Linked DNA regions of Arabidopsis thaliana. The protein of the gene in region 1 interacts with the protein of each later gene in a pairwise test. Each region holds a gene or a part of one and is shown in the gene's direction. Other genes may lie near its edges.

Region 1 (4,717 bases):
GACCACTTTGAATAGACTTGTCTATTGTTAGAGATATTGTGACGTGTGTTTTAGACCGGTTAAGTCGGGTTTGTAGACCGATAATTTTTAGAGAAGTGCAGGCCCTGTTAAACTAATATCAATTTCTATGAAATATCTGTAGTGCAACCGTCAAATAAAATAAAAATGATACGATTCATTACCTAAATGAATCCAACCCAACCCCTTTTCTGAAACTATTGGCTATGTATGGACCGAATCAAGCGGCACTACATTTTTAATATATCAAAAACCAAATCGTTGGTTTGGTCCGGCAATACATTTTAACATTTTCTGAGTAATCAGAGTTTGTACTGTTTAGTTAGGATGGGGACAGTCGCAGTGTACCGTGTACGAGAGAGGTAGGTGACCAGAATTTTTTCAGTTTCTGTCGAATTTCAAGAATAACCCTAATTCTTTTTTTTACTAAATCAAATATAAAGTATATTATTATCCCATTCTTGGATGTGGGACCTACTTCCACTACTTCTCAAACAACCCGCTCTCTTTGCTATAAACAGAAATCGCATGACCCAACCGCTCAACAAGGAAACTTATACAATTAGTTTGATCCAAAATTGTTATTTATTTAGAAAAATTTAATAGAAAAGATTGAAATATAAACATATATGAATGAAATGAATTATTTATATTCAATACAGTCCATGTTATTTTTTTACCAGATTCTCTATTATACATCTCTTCAAGTATCTAAATATTTTTCTTATGGATGAATTTTTATTTTATCATTTTATGTTATCGATTATACACAAAGAAAGGAAGTGTTAAATTAGATTAATTAAGTGAGTTGTCGATATACATTACAGGAAGTGTTTGAGATAGAAACTATTCTATGATGGTTTAGTTGTTGAACACAGTTTACTTATAAAATTAGAAAACCCAGGGGTTTAAGTATTTATACTTCTATTTAACTATGATATACATACATAAGTTTTATCAATGCCATGTACAACGTATAGATGAATCAAACTAGATGATGTGATAAATAATTCCATGATTGTTGATGATAAGGTAGTTAATCATCCATAAATTAAAACTGAACACTTTTTATATACAAAACATATCCATTTAAACCGTGCATTAGTATTTTTGGTTCTTGTATTAAGTCGAAGAGTTTTTTCAATTCGAGTATATAATAAAATACGATTGCATAAACATAACACATATTAAACATGAGATTAATTATAGAAGTAAAACATACATCTAAGACAAGAAAATAGTTTCGCGTTAAAATACTTTTATCAATTACAATTTTGTATTTGGGATATTTTTATCCAAATTTTACTAAAATGAAAGGAAAAGGGTAGAAATGGGAAAGAGCAAACGGGGCTACTTGGTTTGTCGGTGTGAGTTAGTGGAGCCCATATCATATTGGTCAGAGAGAAGATCGTATTTGCTGATAATGACGGAAATACCCCTAAAGTCGTTGAAAAGACCTGAGAGATTCGGCAAGGGACCCATCTGTTGATTCTTCTAACCAACCTTTATGTTTGGCCACAATGATAAATCACATGCTCCAACCAAAACAGCCCCCAAAAAAAACCCAATTTATATTTTCTTAAAAGTGAGCTTATAACGTAAAAGAAATATATACAATGCTAATTTTCTTACAACTGGTTAAGTGTTAAAAGATATGTTTAGGATCATATTGGTATTTGGTAATCAGGTTTCAACATTTGAAATGATTAATCAAAAAATAAGTTGCATAGAAAATGATTTAAAAAATGACTATAAACAAGAAGTAATTTCACAAACCATGTAACAAATCAAAACCTTAATAAATCATGCATCAAAGTTGGATTAGAAACATAGCTTAATGGATTATATACAACATTTTCGTTTAAATTAGACACCTAGAATATACATGTTATCCAATAATTTAACTTTGCCATCTTTTTACCCTTATTGTATTGTGTGTCTCCATCTACAAATGTCCGTATATTTCAAACACAGAGAGGGAGAGAGAGACTCTTGTTTAAAAAACTTACTTCTTCTCCTGAAAATTGAGAAGACAGACGTAGAGAAGAATTAATTGTAACAAAGGTTCTAATTTTCCCAGCTCTGATTACTCATTATCTTACATCTCTTTCTATCTATTGTCAAATTCAAACCCTTAACCCAATGTTTAATCTTTTGGATCCTAACAAACATTTCTATGGTTTCGTTTCCAAAATTATAAAAGAGCTAACTTTTTTTGAAATTAGTTTCAAATTTTTGGTTTTTCTTCTTCTTAAAGATTGTTGAATGTTACTTTTGATTTGCAGGTGTTAAAGAATCATCTAGAGTACTCGTTGAACCATTTCCATGGAAGGTAACAAAATTTCATTATTTGGTCTAATTTCTCATGAAAGTTGCTACCTTTTTCGTTCTGGAAGATCTAAATTAGTGTTTGAGTTACAAACGCAGAAGAAAGAGAAAGCCTTTACGAGGAAATGGGTTGTTTCGATCCCAACACTCCAGCAGAAGTTACGGTGGAGAGTAGCTTCTCTCAAGCCGAACCACCACCACCACCACCGCAAGTTCTGGTTGCCGGAAGCACAAGCAACAGCAACTGCAGTGTTGAGGTAGAAGAGCTCTCTGAATTCCATCTCAGCCCACAAGATTGTCCTCAAGCTTCTTCAACACCTCTCCAGTTTCACATCAATCCTCCTCCTCCACCACCTCCTCCTTGTGATCAACTCCACAACAATTTGATTCACCAAATGGCTTCACATCAACAACAACACTCTAATTGGGATAATGGGTATCAGGATTTTGTGAATTTGGGACCTAACTCTGCAACAACTCCTGATTTGCTTAGTCTCTTACACTTGCCTAGATGCTCATTGCCTCCTAATCATCATCCTTCCTCTATGCTACCTACCTCTTTCTCAGACATTATGTCTTCTTCTTCTGCTGCTGCTGTTATGTACGACCCTCTCTTCCATTTGAATTTCCCTATGCAGCCTAGAGATCAGAACCAGCTAAGAAACGGCTCTTGTTTACTTGGAGTTGAAGATCAAATTCAGATGGATGCTAATGGAGGAATGAATGTTTTGTACTTTGAAGGAGCAAACAACAACAATGGTGGATTTGAGAATGAGATTCTTGAGTTTAACAATGGAGTTACTCGTAAAGGAAGAGGATCAAGAAAGTCGAGAACTTCCCCTACAGAACGTGAGAGACGAGTTCACTTCAATGATCGTTTCTTCGACTTAAAGAACCTCATTCCAAATCCCACAAAGGTATATACTTTACTTTGCTTTGATTTCAATTCATGTTGTTAATGTGTATGAGGAGACTATGAAATGAGAGACATTGTTGGTTTAATCTCTGTAGATTGATAGAGCATCGATAGTTGGAGAGGCGATAGATTACATCAAAGAGCTTTTAAGGACAATAGAGGAGTTTAAGATGCTTGTGGAGAAGAAGAGATGTGGGAGATTCAGGAGCAAGAAGAGAGCTAGAGTTGGTGAAGGAGGAGGAGGAGAAGATCAAGAAGAAGAAGAAGACACTGTGAATTACAAGCCACAGAGCGAAGTAGACCAGTCTTGCTTCAACAAGAACAACAACAACTCACTGAGATGTTCATGGCTTAAGAGGAAATCGAAAGTCACTGAGGTCGATGTACGTATAATCGATGATGAAGTAACCATCAAGCTTGTTCAGAAGAAGAAGATTAACTGTTTGTTGTTCACCACCAAAGTTCTTGATCAGCTTCAGCTAGATCTTCACCATGTTGCAGGTGGACAGATTGGTGAACATTACAGCTTCTTGTTCAACACTAAGGTAATGAAAATGTCTCACTAATATAGTTCTGTTATTAACTCCAAACCAATAAACTAATCTTTTTCAATTTGGTTTGAGGCAGATTTGTGAAGGATCTTGTGTGTATGCAAGTGGAATTGCAGACACATTGATGGAGGTCGTGGAGAAGCAGTACATGGAAGCTGTTCCTAGCAACGGCTACTAGATTCCAGACACACTTATGGAGTAGTTTATTGCTTTTTAATAACTTTTGTGATACCCCTCTAATGACTGATTAAGTTATTAATCACTTTGGTAATTTTCAAGTTTATTTAGCTAGAGTTAAAGTTAGAGCTAGAGCTGAGGCTCTTTGTCTGGATTTTGTCTAACTCTATATATTTCTTCTAGCTTTATCGGTTTCGTTTTTCGACCACATTTTAATCTCTTGCGTTTTTTTTTTTAACAAATGCTCTTGCTCATATTTACCTTACGTTTCATATTGCTCTTAATGGGCCAGTGGGCCGTGTCGTTTGAAAAGTTTGAGAATAATCATCAGTCCGGAATTTATAAACCATTGCTTCTTTATCGATTCTGGTTTTCTAACTAGAAATTAAGAAACTTGCTTACATTTTCAGTGGTTCTTTTTACAATGAGCCAATTTTAATCTGGTTCTTTTTACGATTTTTCATTTACCGTTGAATTACGTGTTTAAGCTTTTATTTAATAATGTGTACTATCAATTAGGCTTTGACAAAACAAAAAATGTACTATCAATTAGTGAATGTTAATTTGTTTTAGATCTAAAACAAAAAAACAAGGATGTGATTTTGTCTCAACGCTCTTGTCTTTGCTCGTTGTCTGTCACCCTTTTTGCTTATTCCCTATTTCGAACACGTTCATGTGTATTTTTTTGTTTTGAAGTCTATTTTCACATTTAAAATAAAGTATGTCT
Region 2 (3,282 bases), on another chromosome or scaffold:
GATGAAGGGCATTCCGGTTATAGCTGGTGCCTCTAATACAGGCCCCGAAGCTTACACTGTGGCTAATGTATTCCCATGGATGCTCACAGTCGCTGCAACTAACATAGACCGTACCTTTTATGCAGACATGACTTTTGGAAATAACATTACCATAATTGTATGTGAAATGTTTTTTCAGGTCTTTTCACCATCGGGTTTCACTAGTCTTGGAAACTTACTCTTTTCCCTTAAAAACTGTTTCAGGGTCAAGCTCAATATACAGGTAAGGAAGTATCTGCTGGTTTAGTTTACATTGAACACTATAAAACCGACACCTCTAGCATGCTGGGAAAAGTTGTCCTGACGTTTGTGAAAGAAGATTGGGAAATGGCAAGCGCATTGGCGACTACAACTATCAACAAGGCGGCGGGGCTGATCGTGGCACGAAGTGGTGATTATCAAAGTGATATTGTCTATAATCAACCATTCATCTACGTAGACTATGAAGTCGGAGCTAAGATTCTACGATACATCCGCTCGTCAAGGTATACTATCCTTTATTTTATATTTTTTGTGATTGATCATCCTTCCGAGTCACATAGAGTATGTAAAACTGATCATCTTCTTATGGCTTGCGGTCTCTTCAGTTCTCCCACGATTAAAATTAGTACTGGTAAAACGCTCGTAGGACGTCCTATTGCGACTCAAGTTTGCGGATTCTCATCTAGAGGGCCTAATGGACTCTCTCCTGCCATTCTCAAGGTTCTTTCCCTAAACAGTGTTTCAAAATCTTGTCTGTCGTTTCCAATTTAAGGATCACCTGTTAATGATGGAAATTTCTTTGGGTTTATAAATGATGCAGCCTGATATAGCAGCCCCTGGTGTGACGATTTTAGGAGCTACATCTCAAGCCTACCCCGATTCTTTCGGCGGTTATTTTCTAGGCACAGGGACATCCTATGCCACTCCCGTTGTTGCGGGGCTCGTCGTACTACTCAAAGCTTTACACCCTGACTGGTCTCCTGCTGCGCTAAAATCTGCTATTATGACTACAGGTTCTTGAAAATGGAAAACCACTTTCTTCTCCTCACCAGAAAACCACCATTCGTTAATTTAATCTTACCAGAGTTTCTTCTCTTGTTATTATAGCATGGAAGACTGATCCATCCGGGGAACCAATCTTTGCGGAGGGAGAACCACGGAAACTGGCTGATCCATTTGACTACGGTGCAGGACTCGTGAACGCGGAAAGAGCCAAAGATCCAGGACTAGTTTATGACATGAACATCGACGATTACATTCACTATTTCTGCGCCACTGGTTACAACGATACATCAATCACTATAATCACGGGAAAACCCACAAAATGCTCGTCTCCATTACCGTCTATCCTCGATCTTAACTATCCCGCCATCACGATTCCCGACCTTGAAGAAGAAGTGACCGTCACAAGAACGGTGACTAACGTTGGACCTGTGGACTCAGTTTACAGAGCCGTGGTCGAGCCTCCGCGAGGTGTGGAGATTGTTGTTGAACCAGAGACTCTAGTGTTCTGTTCGAACACGAAGAAACTTGGGTTTAAAGTTAGGGTTTCGTCGAGTCATAAGAGTAACACTGGTTTTTTCTTTGGTAGTTTCACTTGGACTGATGGGACTCGAAATGTTACCATTCCTTTGTCTGTAAGGATTCGTGTTTTGAACCCTTGAATAAGAAGATTCCTCAATTCGTCATAAATTGTTTTTTCTCTCTATAATGAAAACAAAAATTGTTATTTTAGTCTCTGTATTTGACTCTAACTGAAATCACATTCACTTAATAACAAACTGAGACTAAGATTCTCTCTTTTATTCTCTCTCCACTAACAGACTTCTATCTACATGAGAAGCAACTATATAACTCATGTCTTTTACCACCATTACATAAATAAGAATATAAACACTTTTGTCTGAAAAATTATCAAAGAAGAAGAAATAAATGGGTGGAGGAAGCAGATTTCAAGAACCAGTGAGGATGAGCCGTAGGAAACAAGTAACAAAAGAGAAGGAAGAAGATGAAAACTTCAAATCTCCAAATCTTGAAGCAGAGAGACGTAGAAGAGAGAAGCTTCATTGTCGGCTTATGGCTCTGCGATCTCATGTCCCCATTGTCACCAACGTAAGTCCCAAATCTCGATTATTATTTTATGGGTATTTTGGTGATGATTGTTGTTGTTTTTGTTTCGTTTTCAGATGACTAAAGCAAGTATTGTTGAAGATGCGATTACTTACATAGGAGAGCTTCAAAACAATGTTAAGAATCTCTTAGAGACATTTCATGAAATGGAAGAAGCTCCTCCTGAGATTGATGAAGAACAAACGGATCCAATGATAAAACCTGAAGTTGAAACTAGTGATCTTAACGAAGAGATGAAGAAACTCGGAATCGAGGTTTTTAAAATTTCTCTAATCGATTTTTGATTCATTTTCTTTATCTTTCTTGATGATTTTTTATTTTTGGGACAGGAGAATGTGCAATTGTGTAAGATTGGGGAGAGGAAGTTTTGGTTAAAGATCATAACAGAGAAGAGAGATGGGATCTTTACTAAATTCATGGAGGTTATGAGATTTCTCGGATTCGAGATTATCGATATTAGTCTAACAACTTCAAATGGAGCAATTCTTATTAGTGCCTCTGTTCAGACACAGGAACTCTGTGATGTTGAACAGACAAAAGATTTTCTTTTGGAAGTTATGAGAAGCAATCCATAAGTATTAATTATATACATCTTGGAAATTTCTTGATCTAATAACATTTCCATTGGTTTTTATTACATTGTTGTTCCATTTTAAATATGATATGATTCAGATGAAAAAGAGTTTGTGTTACAAGCCAATGAGCTTCTTCTTGTCTTCATATATGTTGCTGCAAAATGTTCATGATCCTCTGTTTGAGGTCAAAGAAAGAAAACACTAGATATTATCTCTAGGATCCGAGCAATGGGGGTTTCTTTTTAAAATGGGCTTAGAATGAATTAGCTCTTAAATGGGCCATTCTCAAGTTGAGCCCATTTAATTTCAACCATCCAAATGGTGAGTAGTGAATAGTGATGTTCATTTGTGTAAGGTTGGAAGTTGGTAGAAACCTAAGTTTTTTTATTCAAATATCAAAACTATTCAATAGAGCCAAAATCAAAAGACATTTTCCTAACCTATTAACTATTTTTTTATAAAAATAATAATATACCTTTATCATCTCTGACTTTCCCTACTCCACGACATATTTGATTAACAATATAAAATAATTTATAGTTTCCACTCTCAATGA
Region 3 (4,915 bases), on another chromosome or scaffold:
ATCTCTCTCTTCTAGCTCCCTCCATGTTTAGTGATCTGTTTATCTACTTTGTCTTGACTTACTATAACGAGGTTATGCATATTTTCCAGACTCATCCTTCTCAGGGTTGTTTCATGTCATCTGTAGATCTGCATACACATTATTCGTATCAGGTACATCTCTGCTGTTTCCAAATTGCATATATACTAGGTTTGAGACAATTCTGATCTCAGTTTCCCATCATGTCATTCTTAGGTAATGGTGCCAGAGGCTTTTGCAATCGTCGTAGCTCCAACTGATAGCTCTAAGTATGTTCTTCCAAAGCTATGGAGTCAATTATACAGTCAACATATTTCCTTGATAGACTCTCAAACTGATCTTTTTGGCAGGAGTTACGGGATATTTAAGCTAACGGACCCTGGAGGAATGGAGGTACTGAGAGGCTGCTCAGAGACTGGATTCCACCCGCACAAAGAACCAGAAGATGGGAACCCAGTTTATGAGCATTGCTCAAACGTCTACAAGAACTCGAACCTTAGGTTCGAGATTTTTGATCTACGTTAAGGTAACGACTTCTGTGGACTTATCAGTAAAAAGGTTCAAACTTTATCCACTGTGGGCTAAGGATGTCAATAATAACCGTCATCATAACCACCACCCTAACCAGAACTGTATACTTGGTCTGAGAAGGCTGTCTGATTCGGGTTATGAACACAAGGTACCTTCTATTAAGCTTAGCAATGTTAATAAATTGTCATGTCCTTAGATTTGGATCAATTGGTTCCATTATGGAAGAACAACAATGACCATAGACATAAGACATTGTATTGGCGTATGCAATTGTTATATATCTGTACAAATGTATACATTGGCATCTATTTCTCCATATAACACTACATTAATATTATCACCATATTTCGCCATTTTATACCTCTTAACTTGCCAGTGATGACTGATGAAAATGGTTGAGCTTTTAAAAAGGACGGGAAAATTTTAAACTTGAGCTTTGACTTGTTAAAAAATTATTCATTTTGACAGTTTTCGTCTGATTCAAGTTTCATTCTTTTCATTTCTCATTTGATTGATTAATTAGATACAAAATAGCCATAAATTAGCTGTAATAATAATTTAAAAGGTATCTTTGAGCTCTTTTTTGGTAAAGACATATTCCAAATACCTCTCTTCACATGAAACAAGAGTACAAACCCCAAAAACAGAACCAAAGGTCCAAACTTTTCTTTTGAAAGTAATAAAGCTATCAAAGCTCTTTCCTTGTTAAAGTAAATAGTACAGAGGATGGGTTTTATCAGAAAAAAAAAAGCTAGCTCATTTCATATTGTTGAGTGTTGCTATCAAAACCCATACAGATACAGTACTTTGTTTTGCTTCAAATCCCTTTATGGCCGTTTTCAAGCACATGATAGCTTTCTTCGTACAGTCAAGAGTAAAACCTCTCTTTTTCTTACCCTATCTTCTCTCTCTACAGATGTCACAGTCACCTCTGTCACGGATTTGGGTACAGAGACTCGCAGACGATTCACTCTTCTTTCTTTCTCTCTCTCTGGGTTTTAATTCAAAAAGTGAAGTTGGTTACCATTGTCTTGTACGATCGTATATTCCCGATATGATTTGTTTTGACAGAGCAACTGCTTTGTATATATATGCCAAATATCTCTCTCTCTCTCCCTCTCTCCTTGCATCAATTTATAAGTAAGACCAAAAGAGATCACCAAAACTCAGGCTTCTTGTTTGGCTTTTCTTATTGTTGATTGAGAGAGTGAGAGTAAGAGAGAGAGAGAGAGAGAGAGAGTGAGAGAGAGAGAGAGAGAGAGTGAGATGATGATGATGAGAGGTGGTGAGAGAGTGAAGGAGTTTCTTCGACCCTTTGTCGATTCCAGAACTTGGGACTTATGTGTTATCTGGAAACTCGGTGATGATCCTTCTAGGTTCAACACACTCTCCGGTTTTTCTTTGTTATTTGTTCGTTGTTCATGTGAATCATCATCAGCTGTCTACTATTTTGTTTCAGTAGCAAAGCTTCCGTTTTTATGTATACTGATGGGTTTTTCGTGTTTGTCTTTTATCTTTGCTTTCTGAATTAGGACTTTTTTTTTTGTTTTTGCTCTGTTATTGGCTTCCTGAAACTATTTTGTTTCAGTAGCAAAGTTTCCATTTTTTTGATTTTGATTAGTCCTTAGTAACTTCTGGCTCTGTTCTATCAAATTTCTCTGGTTTCTGTTTTTTTTTTTTTTTGCTCATCTGGTTTTTGATTTTAATGGTTTATGGTTTGTTTTGCTTTACCATCTACCTCCTGTTCTTGGTTTTGTCTTGTCTAGTTTTACTAAAAGTTTGTGGGTTTTATGATCTTCATCTCGTAATTGGTATGAATTCCATTTAAACTACAGGTTTATTGAATGGGTGGGATGCTGCTGCAGTGGTTGTTATATTGATAAGAATATAAAGCTTGAAAACTCAGAAGAAGGAGGAACTGGGAGAAAAAAGAAGGCTTCTTTCTGTAGAGATGACCACAACAAGCATCGTATAAGAACCTTAGCTTGTGAAGCGCTTTCTCGTTTTCCTCTCTTCATGCCTCTCTATCCCGGGTATGTTTCCATCTATTCAACCCCCTTTCAAGTTAATTTTTTCTTCAAGAATAATATGAAGCTTCTTTCTCAATTGCAGGATTCATGGAGAAGTAGTGATGTCAAAATCTCCAAAGTGGTTGGTTAATTCAGGATCTAAAATGGTAAAAAAGACTCTTTTCGTCAGCCTTTTTTACTCGTTTGATCATAAGAACAATCTGATCTCCATGTGTTTTGGCAGGAAATGTTCAGCACTCGTGTTCTTGTTCCTGTGAGTGATGGTCTCGTTGAGCTGTTCGCTTTCGATATGGTAAAAACATGTTAGCATTTCGCATAGAAAGTCTGTCATTGGTTTTGGTGGTTACTTCATAAAATGTTGGTCTGTATCAGAGACCGTTTGATGAAAGCATGGTGCATTTGATCATGTCGCGTTGTACCACCTTCTTTGAACCATTCCCTGAACAAAGGCTGCAGTTCAGGATCATTCCCCGAGCAGAGGAATCTATGAGTAGCGGTGTGAATCTCAGCGTTGAGGGCGGCGGATCATCAAGTGTTTCCAATCCCTCCAGTGAAACTCAGAATCTTTTCGGCAATTACCCGAATGCTAGTTGTGTGGAAATTCTCAGGGAGGAACAAACACCGTGTTTGATAATGAACAAGGAAAAGGATGTTGTGGTGCAAAATGCCAACGATTCCAAAGCTAATAAGAAGCTGCTTCCTACGGAAAACTTCAAATCAAAGAACCTTCATTCAGAGAGGAAAAGAAGAGAGAGAATTAATCAGGCCATGTATGGTCTAAGAGCCGTAGTCCCTAAAATCACAAAGGTTTCTTCTGAAACTCAATGCAGTTTCTGGATCACTCTTCTTGTGGTCAATGTAGCACTTTCCATAGGATTATTATATTTATCTTTCTTTGTGCTATATGCAGTTGAACAAAATTGGAATTTTCAGTGATGCTGTTGATTACATCAATGAACTGCTAGTGGAGAAGCAGAAACTTGAAGATGAGCTTAAAGGAATCAATGAGATGGAATGCAAAGAAATCGCTGCAGAGGAACAATCTGCAATAGCTGATCCAGAAGCTGAAAGAGTTTCCTCTAAAAGCAACAAGAGAGTGAAGAAAAACGAGGTATTATTCGAATATATAGACCTTCAAGATAATCTATATCTGAGTTGTAAAATCCCACAAACTCTGGTTTCTTTTCAGGTGAAAATTGAAGTCCACGAGACTGGTGAGCGAGATTTCTTGATTCGGGTTGTGCAGGAACATAAACAAGATGGATTCAAGAGGTTGATAGAAGCTGTAGATTTATGTGAACTTGAGATCATTGACGTCAATTTCACCAGACTCGATCTCACAGTCATGACCGTTCTCAATGTCAAGGTAGTAACGTAATCACATCTCATTGCCCCTGCACGTAATCTCAGATTCTTGAATTCTGATAAACAGTTTTGGATTTATTCATTCTTAGGCGAACAAAGACGGGATTGCATGTGGAATATTGAGAGATTTACTGCTCAAGATGATGATAACTTCAATATGAAAACTCAGTAAAACAGAGTACATAACCTCAAAAGGTCAAATGTTTTGTTTGCTTCAGTCACAAGTTACTGCTAGAGATATGATTTCTCACAAGCTTTTAGGTGACAGTTTACATGTTTGAAACTATACATTCTTCTGGTTTGTCATTGGGTTTTCATTAAGATCTTTCACAAATATAATTCTAAAGGGTCGTCGTCCCTAAGAACTAAGAAAAACAAAACACAACAACTTGAGTTTAATTTATTGGTTTCAATGGTTCCGGTGACTTGTGTTGAAGGCTCGGCTCTCAGATTCATATTCATGGCTAGTGGCGTAGTCTTGGCTAGGGTAGTAGCCAGTATTAGTACCAAGATCCGAGGAATCTTCAGAGGCTCGTCTGAAAATTCGAATCTCATTACTGTATTGACCGGAGTCGTAGACCCTACTTTGACCCACTTTAACTCCGTTTGTCAGATCCGACAAGTCATCTCTCGTGTCCAGAGCTCTAACAACCTGCAAAAAGAGAAACACTCTTGATCAATCAGATGGTTTGTTTCTTTTTCTAGCTGTATATTATTAGGTCAAGTCAAGAAGTGTTTCTATTTCTGACCTGAACCATACGAGGTCGTTTTAAAGCGGAATGTCTAACACAAGACGCTGCCGTTTCAATCATTTTATAGACTTCACTTTCGACGTAATCATTCTCTAGCCGTGGATCCACTACTTCGCTGATGTCACCTTTTTCAATGGCCTCGATTAGCCTTGGACGTGCCTGCCAAAAAACCAACAAATATTCAACCCTCATGAGATTTTTTCATTTATATTGAAAACA

The links. Proteins that work in one complex are often made in the same cells at the same time.
Region 2: the proteins of AT2G31220 (region 1) and DYT1 interact in a two-hybrid assay, tested with the Arabidopsis thaliana proteins (one study listed by BioGRID).
Region 3: the proteins of AT2G31220 (region 1) and AT1G10610 interact in binary tests that used the Arabidopsis thaliana proteins (3 or more experiments, as listed by UniProt).

What each region holds. Positions count from the first base shown.
Region 1 is NC_003071.7:13,300,671-13,305,387, forward strand, and holds AT2G31220 (basic helix-loop-helix (bHLH) DNA-binding superfamily protein), read left to right. Parts: upstream 1-1,995; 5' UTR 1,996-2,082; intron 2,083-2,303; 5' UTR 2,304-2,343; coding exon 2,344-2,350; intron 2,351-2,402; exon of another isoform or gene 2,403-2,445; coding exon 2,446-3,263; intron 3,264-3,357; coding exon 3,358-3,807; intron 3,808-3,889; coding exon 3,890-3,991; 3' UTR 3,992-4,199; downstream 4,200-4,717.
Region 2 is NC_003075.7:11,347,969-11,351,250, forward strand, and holds DYT1 (basic helix-loop-helix (bHLH) DNA-binding superfamily protein), read left to right. Parts: upstream 1-1,953; coding exon 1,954-2,133; intron 2,134-2,207; coding exon 2,208-2,405; intron 2,406-2,480; coding exon 2,481-2,726; downstream 2,727-3,282. UniProt on the Arabidopsis thaliana protein: Transcription factor. Involved in the control of tapetum development. Required for male fertility and pollen differentiation, especially during callose deposition.
Region 3 is NC_003070.9:3,504,648-3,509,562, forward strand, and holds AT1G10610 (basic helix-loop-helix (bHLH) DNA-binding superfamily protein), read left to right. Parts: upstream 1-1,538; 5' UTR 1,539-1,815; coding exon 1,816-1,925; intron 1,926-2,231; exon of another isoform or gene 2,232-2,384; coding exon 2,385-2,582; intron 2,583-2,661; coding exon 2,662-2,725; intron 2,726-2,802; coding exon 2,803-2,871; intron 2,872-2,951; coding exon 2,952-3,386; intron 3,387-3,489; coding exon 3,490-3,690; intron 3,691-3,768; coding exon 3,769-3,945; intron 3,946-4,033; coding exon 4,034-4,105; 3' UTR 4,106-4,353; downstream 4,354-4,915. Other genes in the region: AMSH2 (associated molecule with the SH3 domain of STAM 2), read left to right, coding at 90-152, 235-287, 369-543; PERK11 (Protein kinase superfamily protein), read right to left, coding at 4,354-4,596, 4,694-4,855.